3 linked regions of the Arabidopsis thaliana genome follow. The protein of the gene in region 1 interacts with the protein of each later gene in a pairwise test. Each region holds a gene or a part of one and is shown in the gene's direction. Other genes may lie near its edges.

Region 1 (10,860 bases):
ATTAGATTCTATCTCTTTATCCTCATCATCAACATCATCCGAGTCAAAACCATCCATATCCATCTCATCAATATCATCTTCATGAGAAACCTTAAGGGCCAACTTCCCAAGTTTACGAATCTCTTCAGGGTTTTTAGCAAATCTCTTGACTTCCTGCCGCAAGCTAGTCAACAAAGGTTGAGATTGCATATCAATTTGCTGCCAAATCTGCTCCGCATCAAACCCATCAGAAGAGAGCTGATCAAATGGACATTTAGGGTTATGCGGCTTCAACTTCATGAATAGATACTGAGATGCAGAGCGAGCATCCTCAGATATTGAACTTGGCGCTAGAAAAACTGGTGGCTCTGTTGCCTTAAGCTTCTCAAGGGCTTCAAACCCCGAATCCTTTACCGTAGCCATTGATTGAGCTTCCTCAGTGCCCTCGAAATTAGGGTTCCTTCGATTTGACGAAAACAGTAGAGTATATCAATGGCGGTGCCGAAGGTGGTTTAAACGGCGGTTAGGTTTTAGAAGAGGAACAGGGACAAGAGAAACCTCAATGGTATCTCTCCAAAACCCTGCGAGTTTTACCCCTTAGTCATTGGGCCAATATATGGGCCTTTAACATTGTGAATTGGCCCAAATCGTAATTCAGACATTAAAAATCCACATTTGTCTGAAACTTGTTTAAACTGCAAAAACTTTGACACATTTCAATTGCTTTATGAGAGTTTGAAATCTGAAAACATCATCACTACTTAAAAACATGATACGATAAATCTGTGTTTTACCAAATTACAAAATAAATGATTGATTAGAGAGATTCAAAAGTATTCCTACATAATCAAAAAGGGACTTGAGCTACAACAACACATCGTTTATGAATTTTTCTGTGAGTTCTTTAGGAAGTCCCATGACTGTATCAACCCCTCCCACCTACAATAACATTACAACAAAACTCTTTTTAGTGGAGTGTTATCATATAAACATCTCTTTGAACATCTATCTTAATGATATGCTGAAACAAAACTAATCAAACAAGTGTAGATCAAAGACGCGAGCTTTTTGTATTAAGGGAACTAACCACAGAATCGATAAAGGGTGAAATGAGGGGATGCTCCAGTGTTAAACCTCCAGCAACCTTATAAGTTATTGCATCATCAATCTGAAGATTGAATAGAACACACAAACTTTATATGTCAAAACAAACTAAGTTCAAGAGATCGATAGTAAGAAGAAGAGTGGTTTTAGAAGTTTTACAAGACCGTCAATGACTTGTTCTGGTATCTCATGGAAATAAACCTGCATCACCACAACATTCACATCACCACAAATTGTTCAATCCACAAGAAAATTTGACAAAACAGAAAGAAAAGTTTATATCTGCGTACCTCAGCTTTGTCCCATCCTCCTTTTTTAACTCCAGTTTTCAAGTTTCTAACAAGAACAGATCCCACAACTCCTCCGTGTGAACCGGAATAGCCTGTGTAGATTACAAACAAAACGCTTAAACACAACCATGATCAGCCTTACAAGTGGCTTATAGTATCATAGAACACATGTACATAGTTAACTTGTACGAAACCTTTGATAAATTCACGAGCTTCTTCTTTAGTGGTTGGTTTTTCTCTAATAACACCTTTGTACACAACAACCTAATAAACTCCATCACCATAACATCAGCTAAAGATACCAAAAAGTTAACATTCTAATCAAAAAGTGTTGAGGCATCAAAGCATACAGTGTCTGCAGTAATCAAAAGAGTTGGTTGAGGATCTTTTGCAAACTGGCTCTCACCTCCCAATTTCGATATAATCTCATTTGCCTAGTCAAAACAATTACCATCATCATAAATTGAAAAGACATTGAATCAAGATTACAAAACCCTAGAGTATTATTATGTACCTTGGCTTCAGCAAGAGCCACAACCAAATCTTCAGGCTTCTCTGTCCTAATAGCTTTCTCATCAATGTCTGCAGTCTTAAAAAAAACATAATCCCCAGCCAAACTCAATTTATGTTATGAACATCCATAGCAAAACAATAATAATCACAATTTGAACATACCACGATAGTGTAATCATATCCCATTTCAGCCAAAATCCTCTTTCTCGCCATGGATTGAGAACCCAGAATCAGCTTCACGTTTGAGCATATTTCGCATTTCATCAGCATTTTCCCATTGATTTTTTTTCAAATTTCTACCAAAAAGGGAAGAAATAGCAGAGAGAGAGACAAACCTTAAATCCTCTCTCCATGGCCTTGGTCGTCATCGTGGTGTTGTGCTCTAAGCGGAATAGTGAAGAAGGAAATATAACAAAAATTAACAAAATTCGTAGAAAGAATTTGTGTGTCTTTAAGCCCATGTCCAATCCACACGCTTCTTCTACTTTCAAGAATAACTCTTAACAATTCCCTTCAACTTTATCTTTATCTTTTTTTATATTTTTTCAATCTATGAAGAATATTATTGTAATACTCCATTTTCATTTATCATAAGTTTTAACTATAGCTTTATTATGAAAATTTTAAATAAAATCCATCTTTTCCATGTACAGTTTTTTACTATTTTTAACAATAGTTTAACATTACCGTTACATTATAGTTATATATATTTTTTGTCATCTCACCAATCACAACCAAACCTTTCACATGGAATTAGGCTATCTAGCTAATTAGTCATGGAAAATTAGGTTATCTAGCTAAAAAATCTTCATTCTTGCAATGATAGTAAGAAATTGGAATTCTTTATATTGGAATTTTTGTCTTCCCGAAAATGGTGTTTGTGAAAAGAAAAATATGTAAAGTTGATCCTCCATTCTTTATCACAGCCTGTAATCTGTATGATCCAATAAGAAGATGTCACATGTAAATGTAAAATAGGTATTCAAATTGTGGAAAAGAAAAATAGGTATTCAAATGGGGCATAGTTATCGACCAAAAAAAAATGGGGAATAGTTTACAAGCCATAAAAACAATTGGGCCTATTTGTAAGGCCTTACAGCTATTTGAATTATTTTATAAATTATCAAACATTATTGGTGATAAAGCAATTTACGTTTTTCAAAGGGGTTGCAATTATAAATACCCTTGGGCCTGTTTTTGAGCTTCTCGCACATATGGAAGTTATTGTGAAAATCGTACAACTACTAGGACTATTTTATAAATACTAAACACTACCGGGGAGAAAGTAACAGAGATAGAACAAGTGACATAGACTCTGAGTGAAGGAGTTGAAACGTGTATGACCAGTGGAAGAAATGGGACGCGGTGGTGATCGGCGCCCACGTTGTGTATCACGACCATCTCTACGAACAAACATCTCCTCAAAACGATGTGTTTTGATGATGACAAGGATGCAGCCAGAGGGGAAGAAGTTAACATTCCTGATGGCTCCTCTAAGAAGATGGCCTAGAAGAAAGAATATGTCTTCTTCAAGAAAGCTCGAAAGCTCTTCGATATTGACGTTATACTTGACTCTGATGTTCCTCAAGAAGGTTCCAGAATCAGCGTTGTGGTTTACCGTTTCGCCACGAAACAGCCAAATCAAAATGGTTTGATTGTTTCGTGTGTGCAGTTGCAAAAATGTTTGTCATGTCTATTCAAGTCTATTCATGGAAATTATAAGCATTTAAGACTATTCAGAGTCTACGTAAAGTCCAAAAGAAAAAAATCAAACGAAGCAGCCTCTGAACAAGGGTAACTTCCTACCCATAGAATTTTAGATTCTTAAATGAATGTTTGCTTCTTTTGGAGTTTGTGGTCTAAACTTTCGTTGACCGTTTATTGTATATCAAATGGTTTGTTTAATTTAAGCGAGCTACTAGACTAGTAGTTTGTGATATAGTGTATGTCAATTAAGGATAAACACAAATGTTACATTTATGTGATTGATATTCTGTTTTTTTCTAAAAATTGACAGAAGCGTTTTAGTTGTGAACAAATTTCAACGTATATGTTAACTAATGTTTAATGGTGTGAAAGTTTGAAATGGACGAGACGATGTGAGGAGAATATGAAACCACAATTGTTTAGTCTTTCGTAACTTTATAAAGCCAACATTCCATCAAATGATATTTCTCCTAACACGAGATCATAAGGAATAAGATAAAGCAAAAGAGATGAAGGAAAAATGAATGACTTCCAAAGTTCTCTTCGCAAAAGTCTACGCTTACTTTGATTGTGTTTCTTTTGTTGTCTTGTGCTATTAGTAGATGGAGTCCAAGATATTGCATCCATGCTTAAAAAGATCAAGAATACACCACATGTTTTTGGGGGAAAAGTATATTAAAGCCCAAAAGAATGTTTTGGAATAAGTATATATATATTTTGATACGATTTTTGTTTCATAAATGGAAAGCCAAAAAAATGAAACTATCATACTAAGAAGTTACATATTAATAGACGTATCTTACATCTTCATAAACTCCCAAAAAACCCTAAACCTAAGTGAAGAAAATGTGTACTAGTATGAGATGATAGATGAACATATTTAGATAAGCATTAAAAACATGAAAGGAAATGTTTGTAACAATCAATTCCAAAGAGGGGTCTACTACAAACATATATAATAAACACGAGCAACCGTAATGTTTGCTTCCACATTCAAAATTTCAAAAAGGTCGAATTATTAGTGTATTGTTTTTGTTTGTTTGGTTTTAGACTGTGGATGAACAAATCAATGCATTGATAATTGCACATACTTTTTTCTTTTCTCTTGCTACTCACTTTACATCTGTAAATATTGCAATAAATTTCATATATATATATATATATAAATTTAGAAAAACACCAATTAATGTCTCCTTGCAGTCCACATGGGCTTCCTAAACGTCAAATTTTCCCAATTTTCAGAATTAGGTGAAACGTTATTATATCTAAAAAACAGTCTAGATAATATGTCTGCCACTTAAACAAAAAGCAGCTTCCTCTTTTGTTTAGTTTTGATGATTTATCAAATGAATATCAATAAAAAAAATACGAATAAAATCAATTAATATACTTTGTAATATCAATTGAAACAATGCATTACACATTAAAAAAGAAATAGTAACACATAAAAAGAAACAGTGGAAAGCAGAAAACGAGAGGGGTGTGTATATATTACTAAAGAATTAGTTTAAATGATTAACAAATGAGTGGGATTTTTGCTTCTCCCAAAGCGTAATTTATCTGAAAATGTGTCTCGTGTTGAGAGTAGTTGAGATTCTTGCTGTTCTCCAACTAAACATTAACTTTTATTAAAATTAAAGAAAATAAAAAGATGGATCAAAAACGAGATCCCCTTTTTCGATATCCGAATAATGTTTTTCTTTGCTTTTAATGTGTCTCTTTCTTATGATTTAGGATTCCAATTCCTTCCCTTTCCCCTTCTTGTTCTCTCCATATTCTCCTCTTTAGAAAGAGATAGAGAGAGTCTTGTTTTTTTCCTGTCTTGAGTGATATTTTTTTCAGAGCCCTGAGTTGTTGTCTCCATTAATGGCGTCAGAGAAATCTACCTCCAAGGGCCAAGCATGGTGAAGATCAGCTAACACTTATCTTAACAATAATAATATTTTAAAATGTTGCCTAAAGAAATTTTCTCATTTCCTTTTTTTTTTCGTTTTGGTATCGTGATGCAGGTTTTGTACGACTGGGTTACCTAGTGACATTGAAATCGAAGTTGATGACATGACATTCCATCTCCATAAGGTGCGTTCACAAAAGCCTGAAGATTTGTCTTCTTCTTTGGCACTCTCTGTTTTTTCTTTGATTACTCACAAGATTTGTGTTGTTGTCTGTGGCTTTTCCAGTTTCCACTCATGTCAAAGAGCAGGAAACTTCACAGGTTGATTACAGAGCAAGAGACTAGATCTTCCTCTTCCATGGCGCTGATAACTGTAATAGACCCAAAAGTAGAAGAGACTGACAAGAAAGGTAAAGGCCATGAAATCGAGGACGATAAAGAAGAAGAAGAAGTGGAAGAGCAGGAGATCGAAGAAAATGGTTATCCTCACATCAAACTCGAGGATTTTCCCGGTAGTTCAGAGAGCTTTGAGATGGTGGCGAAGTTCTGCTACGGCGTCAAGATGGACCTCTCTGCTTCCACCGTTGTTCCACTTCGTTGCGCCGCCGAACACCTCGAAATGACGGAAGAGTATTCACCAGATAACCTAATTTCCAAGACTGAGAGGTTTCTCTCTCATTCCGTCTACAAGAGCTTGCGTGAATCCATTAAAGCTCTCAAAGCTTGTGAGTCAGTCTCTCCTTTAGCCGGATCGCTTGGTATAACGGAACAGTGCATCGACTCTATAGTCTCCAGAGCTTCCTCAGCTGATCCTTCACTCTTCGGTTGGCCAGTAAACGATGGCGGCGGAAGAGGAAACATCTCCGCCACCGATCTGCAACTTATACCCGGCGGCGCGGCGAAATCTCGAAAGAAACCGAGTAGAGATTCGAACATGGAGCTGTGGTTTGAAGATCTGACGCAACTGAGTCTTCCGATCTTCAAAACTGTGATCCTATCAATGAGATCAGGAGATCTGAGCTCCGATATCATAGAGAGCTGTTTGATTTGTTACGCTAAGAAGCACATTCCCGGGATTCTACGTTCTAACCGGAAACCGCCATCGTCATCTTCAACCGCAGTTTCAGAGAATGAACAGAGAGAACTACTGGAAACAATAACCTCTAATCTTCCATTAGATAAAAGCTCCATCTCCTCAACAACGAGATTCCTCTTCGGCTTATTACGAACCGCAATCATCCTCAACGCCGCCGAGATTTGCCGTGATCTGCTGGAGAGAAAGATCGGATCGCAGCTAGAGAGAGCCACGCTCGACGATTTGCTCGTCCCTAGCTACTCATACCTCAACGAGACTTTATACGATGTTGATTTGGTAGAGAGAATCTTAGGCCACTTTCTCGACACCTTGGAACAATCCAACACCGCCATAGTCGAAGTTGACGGAAAATCTCCGTCGCTGATGCTCGTCGGGAAATTAATCGACGGATTTCTCGCGGAGATCGCATCGGACGCTAATCTCAAATCGGATAAGTTCTACAATCTAGCCATCTCACTCCCAGATCAAGCTCGTCTCTATGATGACGGACTTTACAGAGCCGTCGACGTATATCTCAAGGTATAACAATAAAATTCAATGTGAAGAGAAGATCGGAGAATTTGGATCTGATTTGTTTTGAAAATTTCGTTTTCTTCAATAGGCGCATCCATGGGTATCGGAAGCAGAGAGAGAGAAAATATGCGGCGTGATGGATTGTCAGAAACTGACGTTGGAAGCGTGCACACACGCCGCGCAAAACGAGCGGCTTCCGCTACGAGCCGTCGTACAAGTTCTCTTCTTCGAGCAGTTACAACTCCGGCACGCGATCGCCGGGACGTTATTAGCTGCTCAATCGCCGTCTACGTCACAGTCAACGGAGCCAAGACCGTCAGCGGCAATAAGGAATCTAACGATAACGGAAGAGGACGGTGATGAAGCGGAAGGAGAAAGACAGGTGGACGCTGGGAAATGGAAGAAGACGGTTAGAGAGAATCAGGTGCTTCGCTTGGATATGGATACGATGAGGACGCGTGTTCATCGGTTAGAGAGAGAGTGCTCGAACATGAAGAAAGTGATCGCGAAGATTGATAAGGAAGGTTCATCACCGGCGACGACGACTGATCGGCCGAGAAGTTGGTCGATTACCAAAAAATTCGGATGTAAATTCAAGACACAGGTCTGCGATTCACACGAAGCAACGATGGTTGATCATAGATCACGACGGTCTTGAATTGTTTTCGATTGATTTTACTCTTTTTAGTACAGAATCAGAAAGCATATTGTTGTGATTCTTGGATTTTAGTTTTTGTTAATCCTTCGAGATTCTTGCTATGCGACTGCTCTACACAAATGTGCATCGTTTTGAGTCTTGTACTCGAATTAGTAAAACCAGAAATGACATACGGCACAAAGCCCATCGTTAAACGTTTCGAATTGAGCCCTTTTCTCGACTTCCTCCGAATGGGCCGTAACAATGGGCTTCAGTTGCCCTTATCTATCGTAAACTGGGCACTGTTTTGGAGAGAAATTGTTTCATATTTGTGGAATGTGCGCCGTTTTAACGTAGGAAAAGAGGGACGAACTACTCGCTGTTCAGAATCGGTAGTAGGACTTCATGTCGTTTTATAAAGGAGAGTTCCTAAAAACCTAAACCCTACTTTAGTTCTACTATATAAATCAACCGGCTTTGGCTGAGAAGAAGCCATTAGCACAATCCGAGTACCGAATCAAACCTAAGTCTCTGTAAATTTCCTCGTTTTCCGTAGATTTAGTTCTTTGTCATCCCATCTTATTAGGGTTATTCGTTTAATTTCGTTTGAATCAGTTGATACTCTCTGATTTTCCAATATGTGTTTGAATCGGCATATTAATCTTTGATCGACTCGATTTTGTGTTTTTAGAAAATAATTTAGATTTTTTTAGAGAAGGAAAAATATTCTCAGTGATGAAGAAACAATAGATGACGAGTCCGATGAAATCCATTCATAAAATCGTGGGGACAAACGAGGCATTTGTCTGAGAGGATTATTTTTCTTCGTTTTAGCATTCTAAAATATCTAGGTTTTAGGAACGTGTATAAAGGGGATTTCTCAGTGATGAAGGAACAATAGATGACGAGTCCGATGAAATCCATTCATTAAATCATGGGGACAAACGAGGCATTTGTCTGAGAGGAATCCTTTTTGTTCAATTAGTTTTGTTTTAATTAGACTTAGCAGGAAGAAGAAAGGCATGATGAGGATTGTTTTATTGTCATCTGATTCTTATTGATGAATCTATACCTCCTACTCATTCTGAGTGCCTTCTCTTGCTCTTAATTTTCAGTCACAGATATCATTGCATTAGTAGTCACTAAATTCGGATTCAATTATATTGACTCTAGGGAACACTACATTTCAAGTGAATCTACAGATACTCTAATAATATAACACAATCTGCTAAGACCAAGTGATAAACCAATTGAACTAACAAAAAAAATAAGTTTATGAAATCATAACTATTTCTTGATATTAAAAAATAACAGCAAAGATGCCAAGTTCATATAACATAAGGCCTTCAAGGAGAAACCATAACTTGTAATTTCAAACTGTATACTGGAAAGCAGACTGTGCTCAATGTGGTTTTGGATAATTCCCTGCATCCTAGTCCTGAAGTTGAAGCAAAACCTCTAGTATTGGCATTCTTACATATGATGAGTTAATTTCTGAGAGGGACGTACATTCTGATTCAGGCTCTAAAGGATCGATTAAGATTTTTAATTTATCAGGACCAAATCAGAAAAAATTTATATGATTTCTATCTGTATACTTAGAACAGCATCCATAAAAGAAAAATGTTGTTGAAGATCAATTGGACATTGGACAAAAACCTAGTGGGCCGGGCCTTCTTTGCATCTACTACTTGAAAGCCTTAAAAAAGAAAATTAATTGAAAATTAAATTTTACATTTAAGTGTTAGCATCCAAGGCCCATTAGCTCAGTTGGTTAGAGCGTCGTGCTAATAACGCGAAGGTCGCAGGTTCGAAACCTGCATGGGCCACCTTTAATGTTTTTACAACATAACAATTTTTGATTATTTTATACTATTATACAGGTCAGCACCCCTGACTGAGACAGTATCCATATCTCCACTTCAGATTTCGACACGTGGCAACAAAAAAAACCAGACACTCCGATTCCCACGAAACAAACCAATCAAAATCGTTGCCTTATCCCAATCTTATCTCAGCCCTTTTGATTATTACTCTTTAGTCTTTACTTTGCTCACAGCTTTGGATCACCAAAAAAAAAACTCAAGAGAGACTTTGTGGCCATGGCAGCCTCTCTCCAATCCACCGCTACATTCCTCCAGTCGGCGAAGATCGCCACCGCTCCTTCTCGCGGAAGTTCTCACCTCCGATCGACTCAAGCCGTCGGCAAATCTTTTGGGCTCGAAACTTCCTCGGCTCGCCTCACTTGCTCCTTCCAGTCTGACTTTAAGGACTTCACCGGTAAATGCTCCGACGCTGTCAAAATCGCCGGATTCGCTCTTGCCACCTCTGCTCTCGTCGTCTCGGTAACTTTCTTTAATCTCCGACTCTCCTTTAAAACTATAGATTAATCAAGAAAAAAAAGGAGAATTGAGTAACAGAGAAGAAGAGTATTTTGTTGTGTTTGTGATAACATGTTTATGATTTGCATTACTATGTATCGAAGTTGGCACTTGAGAACACCTAAACCAATAACAGACTCGGATAGTATAATAGAAGGAGAAACCGCTATTCCAATTCTGTAATCTTCGATTCATGTAGATACAATCTTCTTGGATCAGTGAGTTTGATTTAAAGTTGCTTGTTTCTCGTGTAATGAAAGGGAGCAAGTGCGGAGGGAGCTCCAAAGAGATTGACCTATGATGAGATTCAGAGCAAGACATACATGGAAGTGAAAGGAACTGGAACGGCTAACCAGTGCCCTACTATTGACGGTGGCTCTGAGACTTTCTCGTTCAAACCCGGAAAGTATGCAGGAAAGAAGTTCTGCTTCGAGCCTACTTCCTTCACCGTCAAGGCAGACAGTGTAAGCAAGAACGCTCCTCCAGAGTTCCAGAACACAAAGCTCATGACCCGTCTTACCTACACCCTTGACGAGATCGAAGGACCCTTCGAGGTTCGATTTCGCGTCTTTGCTTAGACTGCAAGAAAAAACTCTGCTTAGGGTTAGGGTTTGTGATTGATCGTCTCTTTAATGAGCAGGTTGCTTCAGACGGAAGCGTCAATTTCAAGGAAGAAGATGGAATCGACTATGCTGCAGTCACAGTCCAACTTCCAGGAGGTGAACGTGTGCCATTCCTTTTCACAG
Region 2 (10,441 bases), on another chromosome or scaffold:
CAACTTCCGTGTATTCTCTTTAACAAATGAAATAGCTTCCTCAAGCTGCAGCAGTAAAATTAATCTTTAGTCAAGAAAAATCCAGCAATTACAGAGACTATCAAGGAAAAGACATAAATATTGTTTCTGATAAACCTCACGAGCATCACGATAGATATCAGATTTATTCAGAATAAACACAAATTTCTTTTTCCACTGCTGTGTGTACCGGAGAAACGCAACCTGACAAACGCAATGAGATGTAAATCAGCCTACAGTAAAATCAAGACAGCAGGAAGCTCCAGAGGTAGAGATAGAAATGACATGGGTATGATGACATTGAGAAGCTTATTCCTTCTTTTGAAACTTTTTCAGATTTTCAAAATAAGAACCAAATATTCATAAGGTTAGTACTTCGTAGATGATCATTTACATACAATTTGCCATGGACGTAAAATCAGTTTTGCTGTACCAATAACAACTCACCTCTCAAATGTATTGGCCTAAGCTTTACCAAAATATGGACCAACAGGACATACTGGTTCCAGCAATAGCTATAACACTCATTACTTTGAAAATAAATTAGTCTAGTTTAAATTTATAATCAACAAAACCTTGATATATGCATTCAACCTAGTGACAACTTTCCCTTCCCTACACAAGGTCTTGATGGTCTATACATGACTTAACTAACTACTTTCGTGAAAAATAGATCTAACAAGCTACTTAGGCAGATACATATTGAGCAAAAACAACAACAACTAACATGCCAAGTAAAACGGTAACTTCTACCTCACTTTCAGTTAAAGGGCGGTCAGCAGAAAGAACAAAAACAAGCAAATCTGCACGTGGAACAAATTCTTCTGTAAGACGCTGTTGCCTTTGAAGGATCACATTGGTCCCAGGTGTGTCAACAATATTTATCTGCTCGAAAGGAGAACAACCCAAATCAATTCCTCCAAATAATTAGTAAAAATTCAGGACTGCGATGGTAGAATTTTGAATTACTCACATCCTTAAGTATTGGTGCAGGAAGATAGCATACATATTGGCCATCTGGATGTGTTTGGCAACGTTGTTGCTCTTCGGATTCCAAGTCAGAGTAGCACAGAAACGTGATTTCATTGGTAGTGGGGACTACCCCTTCTTTCAGGTATCTCTTCCCAAGAAGTGCATTGATAACCGTTGATTTTCCAGAGTTAAATTCCCCCTAGTACCAGCAAATTGTGGATTCCAATTAATTATCCATACAAAAACTATTTTGAATCATAAAGGCAACTTGTCCCACTTAAAACATCTTCCAAGAACGGCATACTCACAAGTCACAAGAAAGCGAAAAAACTATGTACACAAGCAGATGGTACAGTTAAGAAATATGCAGTTCCCTTACAACCAGATCCATAAGCAAATTAAGAAGAGAAGCATAGACAGAACAAAAGAAGAAGCGAAACATCATAGTCATAGGCGACGAAAGAAGATATTGAGAAGCACTAAAGGACAAGTGACTAGAAGCATGCCCATTGTATCTCAAGCTATCTAGTGCTGGCAAAAGTGTGTAACTAAAATGTTTCTGGAATGAATATAGAGCTAATACCAATGCAAATTCCTGGAATCACAATTTGACGGAGTTGAGTGCAGAATTACCACTATAACCATCAGAAACGGCTCATCGATCCGAGAAACAGCATCAATTAGAAGGGAGACTTCCTCCATCTGTTAATGAAAAATAGTCGAAGAAGTAAATGAAACCATATTATAACCACACAAAAACCTACTTAGAACCATTTCAAAAAATTGACTTCAACTACCAAATGTTTGAAATAAAAATCACCAGTGGAGCCGCCTTGTGGATGATTTCAATCGTCTCTCTCAACACAGATTTCTCCATTTCTACTATTAGTTTCTGTTTGTCCTCTAATTTTATGAAGCCAGCAGAATTCTTTTTCTCCGGCAGTTCATTCATATTTTGTGTCTCATGATTATTTACAACATAAGCTCCATCAAGACTCTGGCGAAGAGCTACATCCCTAGAAGAACGCAAATCTTTCAACGAAATAACAAAACCAGAAACACCTGATTTCAGTAACTGCAATTCTTCTTTAGCTTCTTCATTGCCTCTGCAAGTCACATATATCGGTATTTTCACGCTCTTCAACAAAGAATCCGCCACTTGCGTATCTTCTTCACCAGATCCAAGTATAAGGAAATCAGCACCCTCGGAGCTTGAGGCAATTAGAGCAGAATCAACATCCTTCACAATCCGAGCTACCAGTGGAAGAAGTACCGAGTCGGGGTTGGATCCCATCAATGTGTTTCTCGCCACAATCGCCGGAAGACCTGTACATAGCATTGAGAGACAAAACTCACTCTATGAGAAATTAAATGCTAAAACTGAATGAAATCAGTTGTTACCTTCGTCGGAGAGAGCAACACCACTAGCACCAACGGCGGAGGCGATATCAACACGTTCAGCGATCAAGAGGTAAGCACGGCCTTTGACAAGTGATTTCAGCAAACAAGCCGCCTCGTAGAGCTTACCAGCGGTGGCTCCGCCATCAATCACGACGATTTGAACCGATTTAGCTAAAGCACGGTCGACCAAATCAAGAGTCTCTTCACGATTCCCGCTCATAACCTCGTCGGCGTCTAGCCGGAGAAGTAAACCGGGAACGGCGAGTTCGGGACGCTTGTAACCACCAGGATAAAGAGTTCGCGGCCTAGAAGAAGAAGTCTGATCGGCGGATTCATGCGAAATGTTTCTGATCGAGAGAGAAGAAAAACGCCTATGACGTGGAGGAGTAAAGGAGGATAACTTAAAGCACCGGCCAGGAAACGGTGGAGATGCGGCGGAGATAAGAAACGGTGACGTCACACATTGCCGGTGAGAGATTAGAGTTCTCATGGAGAGAGAAAGAGAGAGAGTGAGATACCTTCGTCTGTGTTTCTGATTAGTTTTCTTATCTCTTAAATATCCTATTGGCCCATCCCAAAGCTATAAGACGGACGGCGCGATTAATTACTTTTCAAACACATGAATTAACGTTTTCACATATGTGTTCATATCCAAAAGGTCCAAAGTATACCACGAAAAGGGAGAAAAACAGATTTAAATTCGTGAAATCCCTCTCCCACAATTAAATTTACTTCTTCCAAACAAAGACAAACGGCTTGAACCAGTCAAGTAAGTGATACGGCACCACTAGATGTTCCAGAGCCTCCATCTTTTTTAATACGAAGAAGATTTGTCCTTTGTGTGTATGAATTTAACAAGTTTTAATTATAGATTTGTGTGTGTATGAATTTAAAAACCTAGTACGTAGCATCAGGGAATGATATCATAGCTATTTTAGTTGAGCTTTCAAATAAGAGATGATCAAAATTTAGAACTTCTAAGAACATGAACGAATAAACAACTATTTTCTTTTCAAACCAACTAAGGTAGATGGTCACTGAAAGTATATACATCAGATAAAAGTTGCTTGTTATTCCAGATGAAGTTGGACCGAGAAAAAAAAAAGTTACTTGTTATTCAATATGTTTGGATCTTTGTCTTGCAGATTGCTATATAGGGTTGATAATGGGCTTCGTTGTAATGGGTATACAGTGTATAAGAATCGGCCTTGTGCAACCAATCCTAATATGTGTGTCTCATTAAGGTAAGTGCTTAAGATTAGAAGAGTAAAACACTTGACTTATCAACTATGTCAACTAAGGGTTCTATATTTTTATTAAATAAAAAATAATTGAATATTTTTTAGAATGATTTAATAAATTTAATGCTATTGTTTGATTTAAATGTATAATTCACCGCGAGAAGAAATTTTATAACTCAAATTTTAAAGTTTTAAGTTGTATTTGTTTATTTTGTTAAATGTTTAATATTGTATAATTGTATTTTGATTGTTGTTTCTCGGATTTCACCCGTAGTACATCATCCCATATTAATATCGAATCAAACCCGTCAATTCTAAAATTTCACCCGTGGTAGTATTTAATTGTATAATTATATTTTAATTGTCATTCTAAGATTTCACTCCTAATTCTATCGCAAATTATTATCAACCCAAACCAGTCAATTCTAAAATATCACCCGTAGTACACCATCCCATATTAATATCGAATCAAGCCCGTCAATTCTAGGATTTCACCCGTGGTAGTATTTAATTGTATAATTATATTTTAATTGTCATTCTAGGATTTCACTCCTAATTCTATCGCAAATTATTATCAACCCAAACCAGTCAATTCTAAAATATCACCCGTAGTACACCATCCCATATTAATATCGATTCAAACTCGTCAATTCTAGGATTTCGCTCGTGGTAGTATTTAATTGTATAATTATATTTTAATTGTCATTTTAACTCCTAGTTCTATCGCAAATTCTTATCAACCCAAACAGTCAATTCTAAAATTTCACCCGTAGTATAAAGTTTAAATATTTATAATATTTAAATTTCTTATAAAAGAATCAAAATGTGTTTTAAAAAAATTAAAGTTTTAAGTTTTTTTTTTTTAATATTGTTAATTTTGTTTAGTGTTTAAGATTATATAATTACATTATGATTGTCATTATATGTTTTTCTCCATAGCATACTATCCCATGTTATTATCCACTCAAACCTGTCACACCATATAACCCCGTCCCGTGAAATTAAACACAAATTTGTCATTTTATTATAAATTTCAAATATTTATAAAATTAGAAACTTCAAAAAAGATTAATATTGACCCAAACTTCATCATTGAATTTTGAGTGTTATATCTAAGATTTCTCTCGCAATATATCGTCCCGTATTAATATCTTTTATATTGTTTAAATTTCTTGTAAAATTTAATTTATAATTTTTTAAACTTTTTAAAGTTTCAATTTTTTAAAATAAATAACCCTAGGAAACAAACCATTTTAATTTAAAGATAAACTTTATAAAAAGTTTTTAAAATTATAATATTTAACTTTTGATAAAGTTATAATATTTATAATTTCTTGAAACATTTTAAAGTTTCAATTCTTTAAAATAATAAATCCGAGTAAAATCAGATAACTATTTTAATTTTGGACGCTTGATAAATCAAGCTTCCTGCTCATTCGTAATCAGAATCATTTTGGTCCTTTTATAATATGGGTCTGAACCATTGTCCAATTTTTCTAAGCGATGTGGGACATTGTACACATATTATTTCTTCATAGGTTGAATAATATATGTCCGTTTAAAAAACTTTGAATTACATCATATTCAGAAAAAAATATAATATTTTATTAACTATATATATTTTATATAAATTCAAAATAAATAAAGTATAAGATCAAATAAAAATGAAAGAAGAATTATATATTTATGTTTAAATTAGGTAGAAATATTTTAGGAAATTGGTTAAGGTAAATAAGAAATATGGTTAGTTTAGAGATATTGTTTATATTAAATCATTAATTTTCGTTTTTAATTATTAGTTTTTAGGTAACTTTTCCAAAAATTAATGTTATCCAATATCAGAACAGAATTAAACATGTTATCCAGGATCCGAACAGAGTTAAACCGGGTAAAACCCAACCATTTGAATTAATTGTTGAATTATGGCTCAAATCTTCAACATTATCTTCAAAAATCTCCTCCAAAAATGTATATATAGATTAAAGTTTAATCAAAACTAATTATAAATTTGTGTGGAAGAAAACGAAACATAATAGTTCAAATACGAAACAACAGGAATAGTAACATCATCTAAAGGCTCTTGGAGAAATTTTTAATGCAGATAACAATTGTGAACCAAGTTAGGGTCTTAATCATACTCTAATTCATCAGGTGTGATAGGTCTCTTGAGAGGAATCACAGACTTTTTCTCTACATCTCTTGATAATGCCTTCCTCATATCTGTTTTTTTAGATCAAACGATTTAAGATTTAAACAAAAGAAAAAGTTAAGCGCGAATCATAGATAAAAAGAAGTTAATCAAAGCCTCACCTAATCCATCTTCCTCTCCTGAATAATAGCGTAAAACCCGCCTATAAATTATGTATCCAAGCTGCCAGAAAAAGGAGAAACGGTTTGTTTCATCAAAATGGCCATCAAGAAGAAGCCTATGAAGGAGATTTGACACTAATAAATGGAAATATGTAAAATGTGTGCATGTCCCATTTACAACTTCTTCTTTTTTTCCTACAATGTCATCAACATTATGAGGCTTCTAATCAATTTCATAATCCTAATATATTACCTTTTCATACATCTTGATGGCTGGTGTGTTGGAAGCTCTTACAAAAAGATCCACAAAGTAGGCTTTATCACTGCAATCAATAACCACAAGTATAATAATCATTAGAAGACCAGAAATTACCAGATAATATATAAAATCAATGAGGAGAAATTCAAGATTTTCTTCCTTTGAAACAATCTAAATATATCGGTTTTCAAATAAATAAATGGTCCACTCGAAAGCCAATATCAATATATTAAGGCTTTCATATTTTATATCATAACGATCCATATCAAAGAGAACACTAAAACTTGAGATGCTTTGTAATTGTTAAGTCTTACATCTTATCACTTATATCTTCCAGAAGGTTCATCAGTTTCTTTGCAAGTTGCTGCCTGCGGTATTCTGGAGAGACAGTGACGGCTGTCACATGACCATGCCAAGATTCACCCTGTCCTTCAACTTTACCCATAACTGAAACCATGTAGAATCTTAGTTAGACACATGCTTTTAAAATTATATTTATAAGAACAAGTTTTACATATGTCACTTACGTTGGATTCTCAAGAATATCAACCATAACATTTCAACTATACAAAAGAACATTTCAGTGACACTGCTTAATTTTCAAATGTGTTAATATCCAAAAGCTTAGTTTTACTCTCAGTTCTTTCAATGGTTTCACTATACTTCCAAGGTCTCTTTCCAAACTATACCACGAAAAGGGAGAAAAACAGGTATAGTAATAGGGCACCACGAGAACAGAACGTCAATAATGAAGCATATATCGTACTTGAAGAAAATAAAGAAAGATAAAGCCTTGTATAAATCACATTTCGAACCAATCCAATAAGGTATAGCATCATTATACTACAAACACTGAAAGACAGAAAAATTTGAGCCTTGATATAACTCATAACTCATTCTCTGGACATTTAGAAGTTAGCACAAACAATCTTAAGCCATGCTTCCTATGCATCTTCTACCCCATATCAAGATTTCTAAAACCGCTAACTACAGAGACTAGGACTAATACAAGCAGAATTTGTTTAAACACTTATACATCCTGGTTTGTGTTAATCAGTTTTCAAACAGAGTCACTCTTCCTGGTTTTAACAACATTCAAGCTATCTCCATCTGATAACCAAAAAAAATCAATAGTGGCTTTTACACTAACAGTTTATCATCTAAGTTTCAACCCTAAAAGTAAACATAATCTCCACGAATTTCAAATTCCTAAACCAACGAAGACATAAAGAAATCAAAACGAAGAGAACAAGAGGATTACTTACTATAACCCATGACACGATTGCCGGGACCTTCAGCAACATGAAAATAGTCAGGCCATCTCGCTAAATAGGTCATGTAGAAGGACATATTGAACTGTTTCACGAAACAAAATTCGAACAAAAATCAACAAAATCGCCATAGCAAAACAAAGCAATAATCAGACGAAACCAGATAATAAGAAGAAGAAACACGAGATTACTGTTTCAGTGAGGTGGTCCAGATTCACGGAAGTGAATCGGAGAAGGTCATTGCAGCTGAATCTACGTATCGTCGTCATCTCTTCTTTTTCTCAAATCCCTTCGAGCTTCGTCAGATTCTCTGGAAAAAGAAAGAGGAGACAACAACAAAGCAATATACATGGCCCAGTTAGAAAATTAATAAAGCCCATTTATATTTGGGCCTATAACACTGATGACGTCATGTAAAAGATGATCAAATTTCATTATCTCCCGTCGTCGCGACCTTCTCAGACAACAGAACCAAATCCTCGGCGGCGATTGAAGAAACCTTTCCGATGGATCTGCTCAGGGAAGAGATTCTGAAGAAACGTAAGAGTCTAGCTGAGGAATCTGGTGGTAAGAAGTTCTTCAAGCGGTCTGAGATCGAGCAGAAGAAAATCCAGAAGCTTCGAGAGGAAGAACGACGCGAGCACGAGCTTAAGGCTCAGCGGAGAGCCGCCGCCGCCGCTTCCGGTGGAGATGGAAAATCATCCGGCTCTGCTCCTGGTTCTTCTAACGCAGCTACGTCTGCGTCTTCCAAATCCTCTGCATCGGACGCTGCTGCTATCGCCGATTCAAAAGCCCTAACCGACGAAAACCTAATTCTCCCGAGGCAGGAAGTGATTCGTCGTTTGAGATTCCTTAAGCAGCCGATGACTCTCTTCGGAGAAGATGATCAATCGCGGCTCGATCGACTCAAGTACGTTTTGAAGGAAGGATTGTTCGAGGTTGATAGTGATATGACTGAAGGACAGACGAATGATTTCTTGCGTGACATCGCAGAGCTTAAGAAGAGGCAGAAGAGTGGTATGATGGGAGATAGGAAGAGGAAGAGTAGAGATGAGAGAGGAAGAGACGAAGGTGATAGAGGTGAAACAAGGGAAGATGAACTTAGTGGTGGTGAATCGAGTGATGTTGATGCTGATAAAGATATGAAACGTTTGAAAGCTAACTTTGAGGATCTATGCGATGAGGATAAGATCCTTGTGTTTTATAAGAAGCTGTTGATTGAATGGAAACAGGAGCTTGATGCGATGGAGAACACTGAGAGGAGAACTGCAAAAGGGAAACAGATGGTAGCCACTTTTAAGCAGTGTGCTAGGTATCTAGTTCCTCTCTTCAACTTATGCAGGAAGAAGGTAAAGATTCTTGCTTTCGATTGTTAATTAGGTGTAAATCATTGTTTGGCAAGAAAATTGTTAGGGAGATTATCTCTGTTTATGAAATTGGAGATAGATTATCTCAGTTCTATCTAATAAGCTTAGAGAACTATGTTTATTAAGCATAGTTTGGGTAGGAAGACCAATGTGCAGTGTTTAGGTTCCATTAGTTTGTGTACTTTTGATTATATGGCGACAAGGACGAGTTTTCTAATAAGTTCTAGTGCTAGGTAGACAATGAGAACGTAGAATAGCAAGTTGGAATCTGTATGCACCTTGAATTTGCCATTGAGGCCTCTGTTAGTTATCTCCATTTAGCTGAAGAAAAATAGGCTGGAATGTTGAATGCAGAAAAAGTTTCTCTCTTTCTGTCTTTGTCTTATAAGTGTTAAGAATGTATACTTTCTTACACTGAAATTTTATGAGGTTTCGTGAACTTGATCTTTCTAGTTATGGCTTAAAATTGCAGGGTTTACCAGCTGACATTCGTCAAGCTTTAATGGTGATGGTTAACCACTGCATAAAGCGAGACTACCTTGCTGCAATGGACCACTACATCAAACTAGCTATCGGGAACGCGCCATGGCCTATTGGAGTGACTATGGTTGGTATTCACGAACGTTCAGCTCGAGAGAAGATTTACACCAACAGTGTTGCTCACATCATGAACGATGAAACCACTCGCAAGTATCTTCAGTCAGTTAAAAGACTGATGACTTTCTGTCAAAGACGTTATCCAACTATGCCTTCTAAAGCCGTTGAGTTCAATAGCTTAGCCAACGGAAGCGACTTACAGTCTTTGCTAGCCGAAGAGAGATTCTTTGGTGGTAATCGTGAACAGGTCTCAGAGGAGAGACTCCGGCTCATGCCTTCTCAGAGCGAAAGCTAGTCTTACTGTGTTTTCTGCTTTGTTGTGTTTTTATTTTTGTATCAAAACGTTGACTCTGTATTATCGTCTATTTAAAACGTTGACCTGATTGTCTAGTCTTATGTGGCATGTGGGAAACATATCCAAACTCATAAAACGACATGGCCTAAAGATCTAGTAAGGGTAAGAGGAGAATCGAATCTTGGAACCTTATTGGTCCAAATGGTATGATCACCTTATCCCAAAATGTTCGATTCTCATCTACCCTCTCGTTGTCAGATTCTATTAAGCCATTTCATCTCTATCCATTTACTCCACAGAGAAAGATTCAGAGAAAACAGAAGAAACTATGGCAACTCAAGCCGCCGGAATCTTCAGCCCCGCCATAACAACCACTACTTCCGCCGTCAAGAAACTCCACCTCTTCTCATCAAGCCACCGTCCCAAGTCTCTCTCCTTCACCAAAACCGCCATCCGCGCCGAGAAAACAGAGTCCTCCTCTGCTGCCCCAGCCGTGAAAGAAGCTCCAGTTGGATTCACTCCCCCGCAGCTAGACCCAAACACACCATCACCAATCTTCGCCGGAAGCACAGGAGGTCTCCTCCGTAAAGCACAAGTAGAGGAATTTTACGTGATCACATGGAACTCACCGAAAGAACAAATCTTTGAGATGCCAACAGGAGGAGCTGCGATAATGAGAGAAGGACCGAATCTATTGAAACTGGCGAGGA
Region 3 (10,234 bases), 3.1 Mb from region 1:
AGTGATTGGCTCAGTAAGGAACAAGAACACGAACGGAAGGTGGACCAGATCTCATATCTTCAAGTAACAGATCAAGAAGCGCCTTTGCTATAGGACCTTCTTTTCCTGAGTCAGACAGAAAGAAACCCATCTTTAATCAGCCAATCTATCCATCATGTAAGTAATTAAAAGTGAGGCTTTTAAAATGTTTATATGATAATCTTACTTACCTTCACCAATAAATTCTTCATCCCATTGAATCACAGGTCTGATCGGAATTCCACTACCAATAAGCATCATCTCATCTGCTTTCTTTCCATCTTCGACTGTCACATCCATTACTTTCACAGTTTTAAGAATCCCCTTGCTTACAAGCTGTTCAGCGAGTGTAAGTGTTCTCTTTGCTGTACATCCGCTCAAAACGTTATCAAACCGCGGCATCACAAGCTCCTTACCACCATTAACAACAAACGCCACATTCATGTTCGGGCCTTCTGCAATAAACCCATCTTTACACACCCAAATACCTGCATAAGCTCCTTTGGCCTCAGCTTCCATTTGTGAGAGTACGTTAGGGAGGTAGTTAACACTTTTCACCGTGGCAAACTCTGGAGGCTTTATGGGGATGGACGAGGTCACTACCTTGACACCTATTGGGTTAATGGCGAAGTTCGTTTTTATAACAATGGCATAGAGAGTTGGTTTGAGACATTGAGATGGAGATAGGAGGAAATCCCCTGGCCCTGCAGAGAGCCAGTATCTTAGAGATCCATCTCTACATCCAGAAACGCTCACGGTTTGAATGAGAATTCTTTTAATAGTTTCTCGATCGAATGGAAGTGGGATCTTAGCCATTGATGCAGATCGCAAGATACGGTCAAGGTGCTGATCCAATTCATAAAGGTATCTGCTTATTCGTAGGACAACAAGCGAAGCTCAGATGATTGAGTAATAAGACAAATTAGAAAAGGGGGCTACTATTTAAAGTGACTAACCCATTGATGATCAGGGCAGTGTCAAAGACTCCATGACCACGGTGAACCATGTGATCATCCAATGGAAGAACCATCGCTGCTGGATCGGTTGTAATTCCATCAACAACACTTGAGTACATGGCCAAGAACTGTTGTCCTCCTCTTGCTAGTTTTAGCCTCTCACCAACCTTTTAAACCAAACATACTTCACTGATACTCAATCAATCAACGCCTCTAAACATAAACGGATAACAAACAAATGTCGCAATCCTTCATTACGGGCTGCATCTATAATTTCATTGACAAAACACAGAAATGTCTGGTGGTTGTGTCAATAAACATCTCTAGCTAACAAATTGTGAACAGTTTCAAGAGTTAAAGATATGATTGATAAGTACAGACATAAAAGAGAAACCATAATTACCTCATAGCTAGATAAAACAGGAACATTCCACGACTGAGAGCTTGAATCTGTGGAGAAACGAATGCAGATTTTTGTCATCAATTCCAGAACACTTATGGAATTTAACGATCAACAAATTGATCTCTTTTTTAGGGTAATAAGTGTACATTACCCTAAAAAGATTATAATAAATGCATCACCAATCACAATCCAGAAGAAAAATCAGAAAAGAGAGAACACAAGGTAGAAATGTCGAACCAGAACACATGAGAATCGTTCTTCTTCGTGTCAACCGACGCGGGAATCGAAAGCCATGTCTTAAAGGACATGGAACTTGAGAGAGAGACCTGAGATTCCAAGTGTTAACTGTAAACTCCAGCGACAAACCTGCCATGGGGTTTGGGACTCAAAAGAATAGAGAGAGAGAGATCATTCGGAAATAGCAACTTGCTTTGCATTATTATTATCTCAGTCGTGAACTGGAAGAAGACGAAAAAATATTTGGGCCTAACTTCACCACAAAAATAAAATAAAGTTATTCGGCCCATAAGCCCAATATGACTTTTCGCATTGTATTTTAATATTCAATCAATCAAAAATAAAAGCCTAAAACAAAACAAACCCTCTCTGTCTTTTAGTGGGTTTTGTACGACGCCTAATCGATGTTAGTATTATATCTGTAGCCAAACAAGCCACCAAAGTGGTATTTTTCTTCTTCCTTCCTTACCTTGTAGGGCTCTGAGCTCGAGTTATAAAAAAGCCAACTTTGATTTCTTTGCCAGTATTTCATCCTTAATCCATTCTTGTGGTCACTTTTTCGTCCTTAACCCATCTAGGTAAGTCGATTTCATTGTTTGTTATTTGAGTCAGTAATTTTTGAAAATCTTTGCTTTTTTTTCTTTTCTTTTGAATATCAAAAGAAGAAAAGATTTGGGGGATAACTAGATCATCTCTTTAGTTAAATTGACTCTTTGAGGTGTGTCAATTGTCACTGATAGTCTGATTAATCTTTTATTGGCATCTTAGAACAGATTTTGATTCTAAAGTCTTGTGAATCGGCAGCGGAAGAAGAGTGAATTGTTCATCCTTATCTTGCCATGGTAAACATTCTACTTCTTTTGTTCACTTTGATGGGTTTGATTGTTCTTAGTATATTCAATCCTTTGCTTATTTGACGGGAAGTAGAGATGTTTTTGGAATGAGAACATCTTTTCCCTTCTTAATTCCAGCTTCCTGATCACATTTATTACTGTTCTTCTTGGAGTAATAAAAGTTGAGATACTTTTGTCTTGCAATAATTTTGCTTTAATCAATCGAACAAGTTAGATTTTGGCCATATTGGTTGTAGTATTGATTAGTCTTGTGTAATATTGTTTGCAGGCTATGTATATTCGTGTGAAGCGCATGAAAACTACTTACTTTATCCAATGTGATCCAACAGAGACTGTTTTGGATGTTAAGCAAAAACTGTTTGCTCTCATTGAGCAACCAGTTAACAATCAGCGTCTGGTCTTAATGTCTACCGAAGAAGTATTAGAGGATTCGAAATCCTTAGCAGATCAGAAGGTATCACACGTTTGACTATCTAATATATTTATCTTTTGAGTCATTGCTCAAGTTTAAAAGAAGAACTTGGTCACATAGCCACTGCCTCCGTTTGCGTGTATTTGAAAGTTATAAGCTTGTCACCATCTTCTTTTTTGGTTGTTCAGGTTGAGAATGATGCAGTTGTGGCTTTGACTTTGAAGAAAGGTTATACCTTAGATCCTCTTATTCTGAAATTTTCAATTCCTTGTTGAAATGTCGTAATGGATCATGCATCTTGGTTAATTACTTATCACACTTCATCTTTCTATATGTTATTTGGTATATGAACCCTTCAAACTCCATTGACTTCAATTGAGCCTGTTATTGTGAATCTTAGTTATTTTGTTATCACTGGATAATCTTTTGGTATGTTTAAGAGTCTTGCCTAACTTTTGTGACCGTGATATAGCTGAATGTGATTCCTAATCTTATTATTCTTTTAGCCTTGTTTCGATTACACAACTGTTGAGGATGCTGTATTGCATTCTGAATCTATACAGCTATGAACGGCATAATGATTGCATTGCATCTCTTTTTTCCATGTGCAGATGATAACGAGTTTGAGGATGTCAACATTGCACAGCCCACCGACTTCTCACTTTCATGAAGAGTTGCTTACTGTATCAAGGAAACTTCAGGAGAAGGTATTGATTCAAAACACAAGGAGGAGTCTATAAACGCCAGAAGTTGTTTCTTTTGCGTCTCTGCTTGTGTTAACGCCTCTTTAGTTTGTTACAGACAATTGTTGTAAGTAAAGATATTGAGATGTGGAAGTTTGATTGCAACTTGCCAGATTAGTAGTTTTTACAGTCTCTTAATATGTTTACAATGAGCTAGAGGTGCAGCTAACACGAGCCGAGGAAGCTCCATTATTACCATTTGACATTGTTCATTGACGGAAAACCCAATGAGGGTGACAAAATAAAGAGACAAAAAAACAAAATGAAAGGACATAACTGTAATCTTAACGGAAAAAAACGTTAAGGCTATAAGTGTGTCTGGTTCGGGAAAAAGAGAGGAAAAAAACCCTAATAAAGAGAAGGGATTGTGTCTCCTTCTCGACTTCTTCTTCTTCTTCTCATTTCTCAATCTCAACTTTTCTCTTCTCTTCTCTTCTTCGCTAACGGCAGGAGAGAGAGAGACCCAGAAATCCGATCCCTCCTCTCCTTGGATTATCGGAGTCAGCGATTCATCGTCGCTGATAAAGCTTCTACCTTTCTCTTCGATTTTTGTTGTGAGATTCGATTCGATCTTAAGGCGGATTAGATCGAGGTATGCAGCAAGGCGATCAAACGGTTCTGAGCTTGAGACCTGGTGGCGGTCGAGGAAACAGACTATTTGGTTCCTCTTCTTCTTCTTCGTCTCTCTCTTTTGGCTCTCTTTCATCTTCGGATCTACCTCTCCTTCGTCCTCATGGTGGTGCTCCTGCTTCCTCTTTTCCCTTCAAGGTACCCTCATTTCTGGGTCCCCTCTCTAAATTTGGATCTAACTCCCTCTTCTTCCTCTGATTTAGAATTTGTTTTATCTCTCTTGTCTTAGCTTGAGCTAAAAATTTATCCTTTTTTACGGGTTTGTCGCAATCAGCAGCCTTTTTGTTTGGAATTATAATCTTTGGTATATTGCTGATTTGATTCTCTCAAATGTCTGAATTGGCTAATATCTTTCTGATTTGCGAGTTTTAATGCTTTGTGTTTGTAATAACTACTGAGCTCATGTTGGATTTTGATAGGTGTCTGCAACATACATAATTGAACTTCATAGGTTTATATGTCAATACGAGTAATGCAAGCAGTTTGTTTGTCCTGATTCTTAGTGGCGCACGCAAGTATGTGTTTCTGCTGTAAATATGGACGTATAATGATATGTAGGCTTTTAGGTGGGCATTTTGTTAGCTGCTATTTGCTCATAAAGGACCTACTGACATTTCTTCTAGTTTTTCTTTAGTTCATCACTCATTTCGGCCTTATGGTTAAAGAATTATTCCTCTCTTTCTTTTGTACTGAGTACTCGTGGTTCCTTGTCTCCTTTATACGTTATTTCTTATATGATTTTGTGTATTGGGTGTTAGTTAATGAAGATTTATCCTGGGTTGTGCTTTTGTTTCAGGGTGGAGACTCGAGGTTCGATGGCCGTGAACGTGTGAAGTACACCCGTGAGCAGCTCCTGGAGCTTAAAGAGGTGATTATCCCAGTTAAATAATATAGGATTAAAGCCGGTTTAGTTTCTGCTGTTCGTATTTGTTCTTCCTTAGTTGAGGTCATTGACGTCTGTGCATATATACAGACCACTCAACTCTCTGATGAAATTCTGAGAGTCCAACGGGAAACTGCAGCTGAACTGTTTGGTGAGGAAGGGACTTGGGCACGTGGAGAAAGTGTCGTAAGCAATTTGGTATAGTTTTGTTGAAACATAAATTTTGCATTTTGGTATAGTTTCATGAAGTTTCACTTTTAACACATATCTTTTATTTTAATGGTTCAGGTTCCCGTTCAATCCGCAAGTCGCTTCTCTGAGCCAGACTCTCGTGATTGGCGTAGCCGTTCTACTCAACCTCCACCCTCTGGGGAGGAAAGGTCGTGGGATAATCTTCGTGAAGCTAAAGATTCCAGGTATGTTGAAGCAAGTCAATATAATCGTCAAGACCAACCTAATTCCCAGTTTTCAAGGGCAAACATATCATCCAACCAAGGGGTAATTGATCAATAGATGAATGTTTTTCCCTCTTCTTAGCCCTTTACATTCTGGCATGATTTCTTATTTTTCTTACTTATTTGTATATCGTGTGGAACCAGGGTGGACCAGCTCCTGTCCTCGTCAAAGCCGAAGTTCCTTGGTCAGCTAGAAGAGGAAACCTTTCTGAAAATGATCGTGTTCTGAAGACTGTGAAAGGGTAATGCCGTTGTGACAGTTATTAGTTGTCTAGACTTTTGTATAACTTTCCTTTACTGCCAACATGAAATCTTTAAAATAGACTATGCACACTTACAAAGATATACTTTTCTTGTCCAGGATACTGAACAAGCTAACCCCTGAAAAGTATGACCTTCTCAAGGGCCAACTTATTGAATCTGGCATCACATCTGCTGATATCCTGAAGGTGTATGCTATGTCTCAAGCATAGATGAAGTCTTGTTTGAATCATCTAGGCTGTTTGTGTGGCTAACCCGTGTTCTTTTCTTTCATTTGTAGGGTGTGATTACCCTTATTTTTGACAAAGCTGTCCTTGAGCCGACCTTTTGCCCTATGTATGCAAAATTGTGCTCTGATATCAACGACCAGCTGCCCACCTTCCCACCTGCAGAGCCTGGGGATAAGGAGATTACATTTAAGAGGGTTCTACTGAATATCTGTCAAGAGGCATTTGAGGGCGCTTCTCAGTTGAGGGAGGAGCTTAGACAGATGAGTGCTCCAGATCAGGAGGCTGAGCGGAATGACAAAGAAAAATTGTTGAAGCTCAAGACTCTAGGAAATATTCGTTTGATTGGTGAGCTTTTGAAGCAGAAGATGGTCCCAGAAAAGATTGTTCATCACATTGTTCAGGTTAACACCTATAAGCTTACACATTTTCTTAGACTTCTTTTATTTTGGTATCTAGCATTAACCTTTCTTAATTTGTTCTGTGCACAGGAGCTTCTGGGGGCCGATGAGAAAGTTTGTCCAGCCGAGGAAAATGTCGAAGCTATTTGTCATTTCTTCAAAACTATTGGCAAACAACTTGACGGAAACGTGAAGTCAAAACGGATTAATGATGTATATTTCAAACGCCTACAGGCTCTGTCAAAGAATCCTCAGTTGGAACTGCGTCTGAGATTCATGGTTCAGAATATCATCGACATGCGCTCCAATGGCTGGGTTCCAAGGCGGGAAGAGGTATTCTAGGTTTTACAAGGTTGAGACTTGTTTCCTGCTCCATTGTGTAGTGATTCTAATGTTCTATTTACATTACTCGTGCAGATGAAAGCAAGAACTATAACCGAAATACATACTGAGGCAGAGAAGAATCTTGGTCTCCGACCAGGTGCCACTGCAAATATGAGAAGGGGTATGGTTTCTAGTGGTGGGCCTGTGAGCCCTGGCCCTGTCTACCCTGGTGGGCGACCTGGTGCGGGTGGCTTGATGCCTGGTATGCCTGGGACGCGAAGGATGCCTGGGATGCCCGGAGTGGACAATGATAACTGGGAGGTACCCCGGACAAGATCAATGTCTAGACGCGATGGGCCAGGACCTCTACATTCTCCAGCAGTGAGCAAGTCGGCCTCAATGAACACGAGGCTCTTACCTCAAGGCAGCAGTGGCATTATGAGTGGCAAGACAAGCGCACTGTTGCAGGGAAGTGGTTCAGTGTCGCGTCCAGTTACCGTGTCAGCAGAACGGCCAGCACAGTCAGTTGCACCTCTGACCGTACCAGTTCCGGTGGAGAAACCACAGCCTAGTGGTCCCAAGTTGAGCGAAGAAGTGCTCCAAAGAAAAACAAAGTCGCTTCTCGAGGAATATTTCAATGTCCGACTACTTGGTGAAGCTCTGCAGTGTGTAGAGGAGCTTGGTTTGCCGTCATATCACCCAGAGTTTGTGAAGGAAGCAATATCCCTGTCTCTTGAGAAAAGCCCGCCTGTCGTTGAGCCAATTGCTACACTCTTGGAGTATTTGTTATCAAAGAAGGTAGTCGCACCCAAGGATCTTGAAACTGGGTTCTTGCTCTACGGTGCTATGTTGGACGACATTGGAATTGATCTTCCTAAGGCACCAAACAATTTTGGTGAGATTGTGGGAAAGCTGATTCTGGCTGGTGGTGTGGATTTCAAATTGGTTAGAGAAATTATAGGGAAGATGGAAGACGATAGGTTCCAGAAGATGGTGGTCGATGCAGCTGTACGCATTGTGGAGTCAAGCGAGCAGGGGAAGTCCTTGTTGGCCTCACAGGCTGCAGACATAGAGGCTTGTCGGAATCTGTAAAAGGAATCATTACTTGACGATTTTGCTCTCTCTGGGTCTTATGCTTGTGCGATGAATGTTGTGTTGTAAGCTTGAAGGAGGAGGAGAAAAGGATTCTCAGAACTCAAAAATAGTTTTGCTCTTCGTTGAAGCTTTTTCTTATGACATTATTCTCACCACTCTTCTTTGTGGGCATGAGTCCATGTCCTTTTTTGTATTCTTCTGTGACTTGTCTTTTTTTGACCTTTGCATTTTTGTTTTACGGTCTCAGTTATTATATTCAGTTGATTGTTGTTGAGACTTGAGACCCCTATAAACTGGTCGGTTCAGATAATTACATTGGAAATGTTTGATCATCGTCTTCCTATTATTCCTATCTGATTCTGAGCTAACATTAGTTGAGTAAATGATTCATTCGACCTTAAGCTTTATCAAGTTTGATCAATGGGCCTGAGTGGGCTTTGTAAAGCGTCACAAAAACTCTCCCGCGCAGGACAGAGAATCATTAGTTATTATCCTGAAAACTAAAATACTTTTTTTTTTTTTTTTCAATTTTAAACAAAAATGAGTTCAAGCGTAGCTGAAGCAAATCACACAGAGAAGGAAGAGTCGCTGAGACTGGCAATCGCTGTTTCTCTGCTACGATCTAAGTTTCAGAATCATCAATCTTCTTCTTCTACTTCCCGTTGTTATGTTTCTTCTGAATCTGATGCACTTCGCTGGAAGCAGAAGGTGAAACTTCTCGATTTTTTTTTATTTTTTTTTGCATTTGGTTTTAATGGCCTTCTCGTTGCGAACTATCTGATATATATATCTGGTGAAATCTACGAATTCTAGGCTACATTTCGATTTCTGTTCTTCGTTTAGAAATCTAGGTCAGCTCTAATTGTTGCGAGACGGAGGTTCTAACATAGTGAGATTTTCGATTTTGAAATTAGGCTAAAGAGAGGAAGAAAGAGATTATCAGACTCCAGGAAGATCTCAAGGATGCTGAAAGTATTTTTTTCTGCCTCTCTTAACTTTTGCAAAAATTCGTTTCTGTATTTATTGATTCTTAAAATGGAAAGGCTGCAAGATGTTTCTAGAACTGATTGGTCTTTCTATTAATGCATTTTGTGTCAATTATAGGTTCTTTTCATCGTGACTTATTCCCAGCGAATGCTTCTTGCAAGTGTTATTTCTTTGATAACTTGGGAGTATTCAGCGGTAGGAGGATTGGAGAAGCCTCTGAATCGAGATTTAATGATGTTCTTCGTCGTAGATTTCTCAGACTAGGTCTCTTTTCCTATTCTTAGGTTCATCAGTCTGGTAGCTTGAACATTTTGTATTCTCTTTGTTACCTTTGTGTTTGTGGGCTTAACTTATCAGCTTGTGTTGTCATTTTATCCTTAGCGCGGAGAAGGAGCAGAAGGAAGTTAACTCGATCATCTCAAAGATTGCAGCCCTCAGGTTTGTTTAGGGTCTTCCTTTTCCTGGTTTAGCGTCTATTATCTCAGAGTTTCAATTTCCTTAAAGCAATACAAGAACATATCATAATATGACGTAATGTGCTATATGGGAGAGAGAAGTGGAAAACAGAGTCTATGTAACCAAGCACCATCATTTCATATTCTGGGACTCTTTTTTATTTGAGTTGAAACTTTGACTGCAGAACCGGATTATGAAGAGGAAGCAGAACATCTTAGGATCTCTATAGATTTTCTCCTGGAACTGTCTGAAGCAGACTCCAATGTTAGGCTTTGTTGCTTAAGTTTTTTTCTGGTAATATGCACGCACTCTTAAATGCTTTGCAACTCTGAACTTGCTTCTTATATTCTGCAGGACTCTAACTTCAGCAATTGGTCACATCAGGCTGTAGATTTCATATTCGGTAATATTATTCAAAGTTCCCGAGTTGCAAACAAATTATTTAAGTCCTGAGCTGCATTTCCTTTAATATAAACCTGGTTTGCACTTATGAATTAATGCTCTGTTTGGCATACTCAAGCTTCACTGAAGAAGTTAATATCGATGGGAAGGAACTTAGAATCTGTTGAAGAATCTATCAGCTTCATGATTACACAGTTGATCACAAGAATGTGCACTCCCGTCAAAGGAAATGGTAACTTCAACAGTTTAATAATGATTCTAACTGTGTTTTCCTTCCTAATTATCATTTTTCTACGATTTGTTTTCCTTCACCATCTGTTTTAGAGGTGAAACAACTAGAAACAAGTGTTGGGTTTTATGTCCAACATTTGATCCGTAAACTTGGAAGTGAACCATTCATTGGACAGCGTGCAATCTTTGCTATTTCTCAGAGGATATCCATTTTAGCCGAAAATTTACTATTTATGGATCCATTTGATGAATCATTCCC

The links.
Region 2: the proteins of AT5G66560 (region 1) and AT1G03140 interact in a two-hybrid assay, tested with the Arabidopsis thaliana proteins (one large-scale study listed by BioGRID).
Region 3: the proteins of AT5G66560 (region 1) and AT5G57860 interact in a two-hybrid assay, tested with the Arabidopsis thaliana proteins (one large-scale study listed by BioGRID).

Annotation. Positions count from the first base shown.
Region 1 is NC_003076.8:26,558,909-26,569,768, forward strand, and holds AT5G66560 (Phototropic-responsive NPH3 family protein), read left to right. Parts: upstream 1-5,279; 5' UTR 5,280-5,459; coding exon 5,460-5,497; exon of another isoform or gene 5,498-5,602; coding exon 5,603-5,672; exon of another isoform or gene 5,673-5,773; coding exon 5,774-7,102; coding exon of another isoform or gene 7,103-7,108; exon of another isoform or gene 7,109-7,184; coding exon 7,185-7,754; 3' UTR 7,755-7,945; downstream 7,946-10,860. Other genes in the region: AT5G66540 (U3 small nucleolar ribonucleoprotein), read right to left, coding at 1-402; AT5G66550 (Maf-like protein), read right to left, coding at 844-918, 1,067-1,147, 1,243-1,284, 1,374-1,465, 1,568-1,637, 1,724-1,807, 1,888-1,962, 2,049-2,120 and 1 more; PSBO1 (PS II oxygen-evolving complex 1), read left to right, coding at 9,836-10,078, 10,375-10,668, 10,755-10,860. UniProt on the Arabidopsis thaliana protein: May act as a substrate-specific adapter of an E3 ubiquitin-protein ligase complex (CUL3-RBX1-BTB) which mediates the ubiquitination and subsequent proteasomal degradation of target proteins.
Region 2 is NC_003070.9:753,761-764,201, reverse strand, and holds AT1G03140 (splicing factor Prp18 family protein), read left to right. Parts: upstream 1-7,898; 5' UTR 7,899-7,978; coding exon 7,979-8,821; intron 8,822-9,311; coding exon 9,312-9,731; 3' UTR 9,732-9,941; downstream 9,942-10,441. Other genes in the region: FZL (FZO-like protein), read right to left, coding at 1-45, 136-222, 772-903, 992-1,189, 1,624-1,692, 1,811-2,316, 2,392-2,881; AT1G03150 (Acyl-CoA N-acyltransferases (NAT) superfamily protein), read right to left, coding at 5,761-5,852, 5,943-6,003, 6,196-6,265, 6,516-6,648, 7,467-7,557, 7,664-7,741; PSAD-2 (photosystem I subunit D-2), read left to right, coding at 10,060-10,441.
Region 3 is NC_003076.8:23,435,538-23,445,771, forward strand, and holds AT5G57860 (Ubiquitin-like superfamily protein), read left to right. Parts: upstream 1-2,016; 5' UTR 2,017-2,192; intron 2,193-2,382; exon of another isoform or gene 2,383-2,418; 5' UTR 2,419-2,453; coding exon 2,454-2,456; intron 2,457-2,736; coding exon 2,737-2,922; coding exon of another isoform or gene 2,923-2,937; exon of another isoform or gene 2,938-3,068; coding exon 3,069-3,108; intron 3,109-3,491; coding exon 3,492-3,550; 3' UTR 3,551-3,866; downstream 3,867-10,234. Other genes in the region: ADCL (D-aminoacid aminotransferase-like PLP-dependent enzymes superfamily protein), read right to left, coding at 11-105, 210-886, 975-1,141, 1,378-1,424, 1,615-1,750; eIFiso4G1 (MIF4G domain-containing protein / MA3 domain-containing protein), read left to right, coding at 4,218-4,391, 5,050-5,121, 5,227-5,334, 5,425-5,634, 5,736-5,833, 5,953-6,040, 6,133-6,483, 6,571-6,813 and 1 more; MPS1 (multipolar spindle 1), read left to right, coding at 8,440-8,607, 8,814-8,871, 9,004-9,150, 9,268-9,324, 9,527-9,606, 9,697-9,745, 9,863-9,976, 10,069-10,234.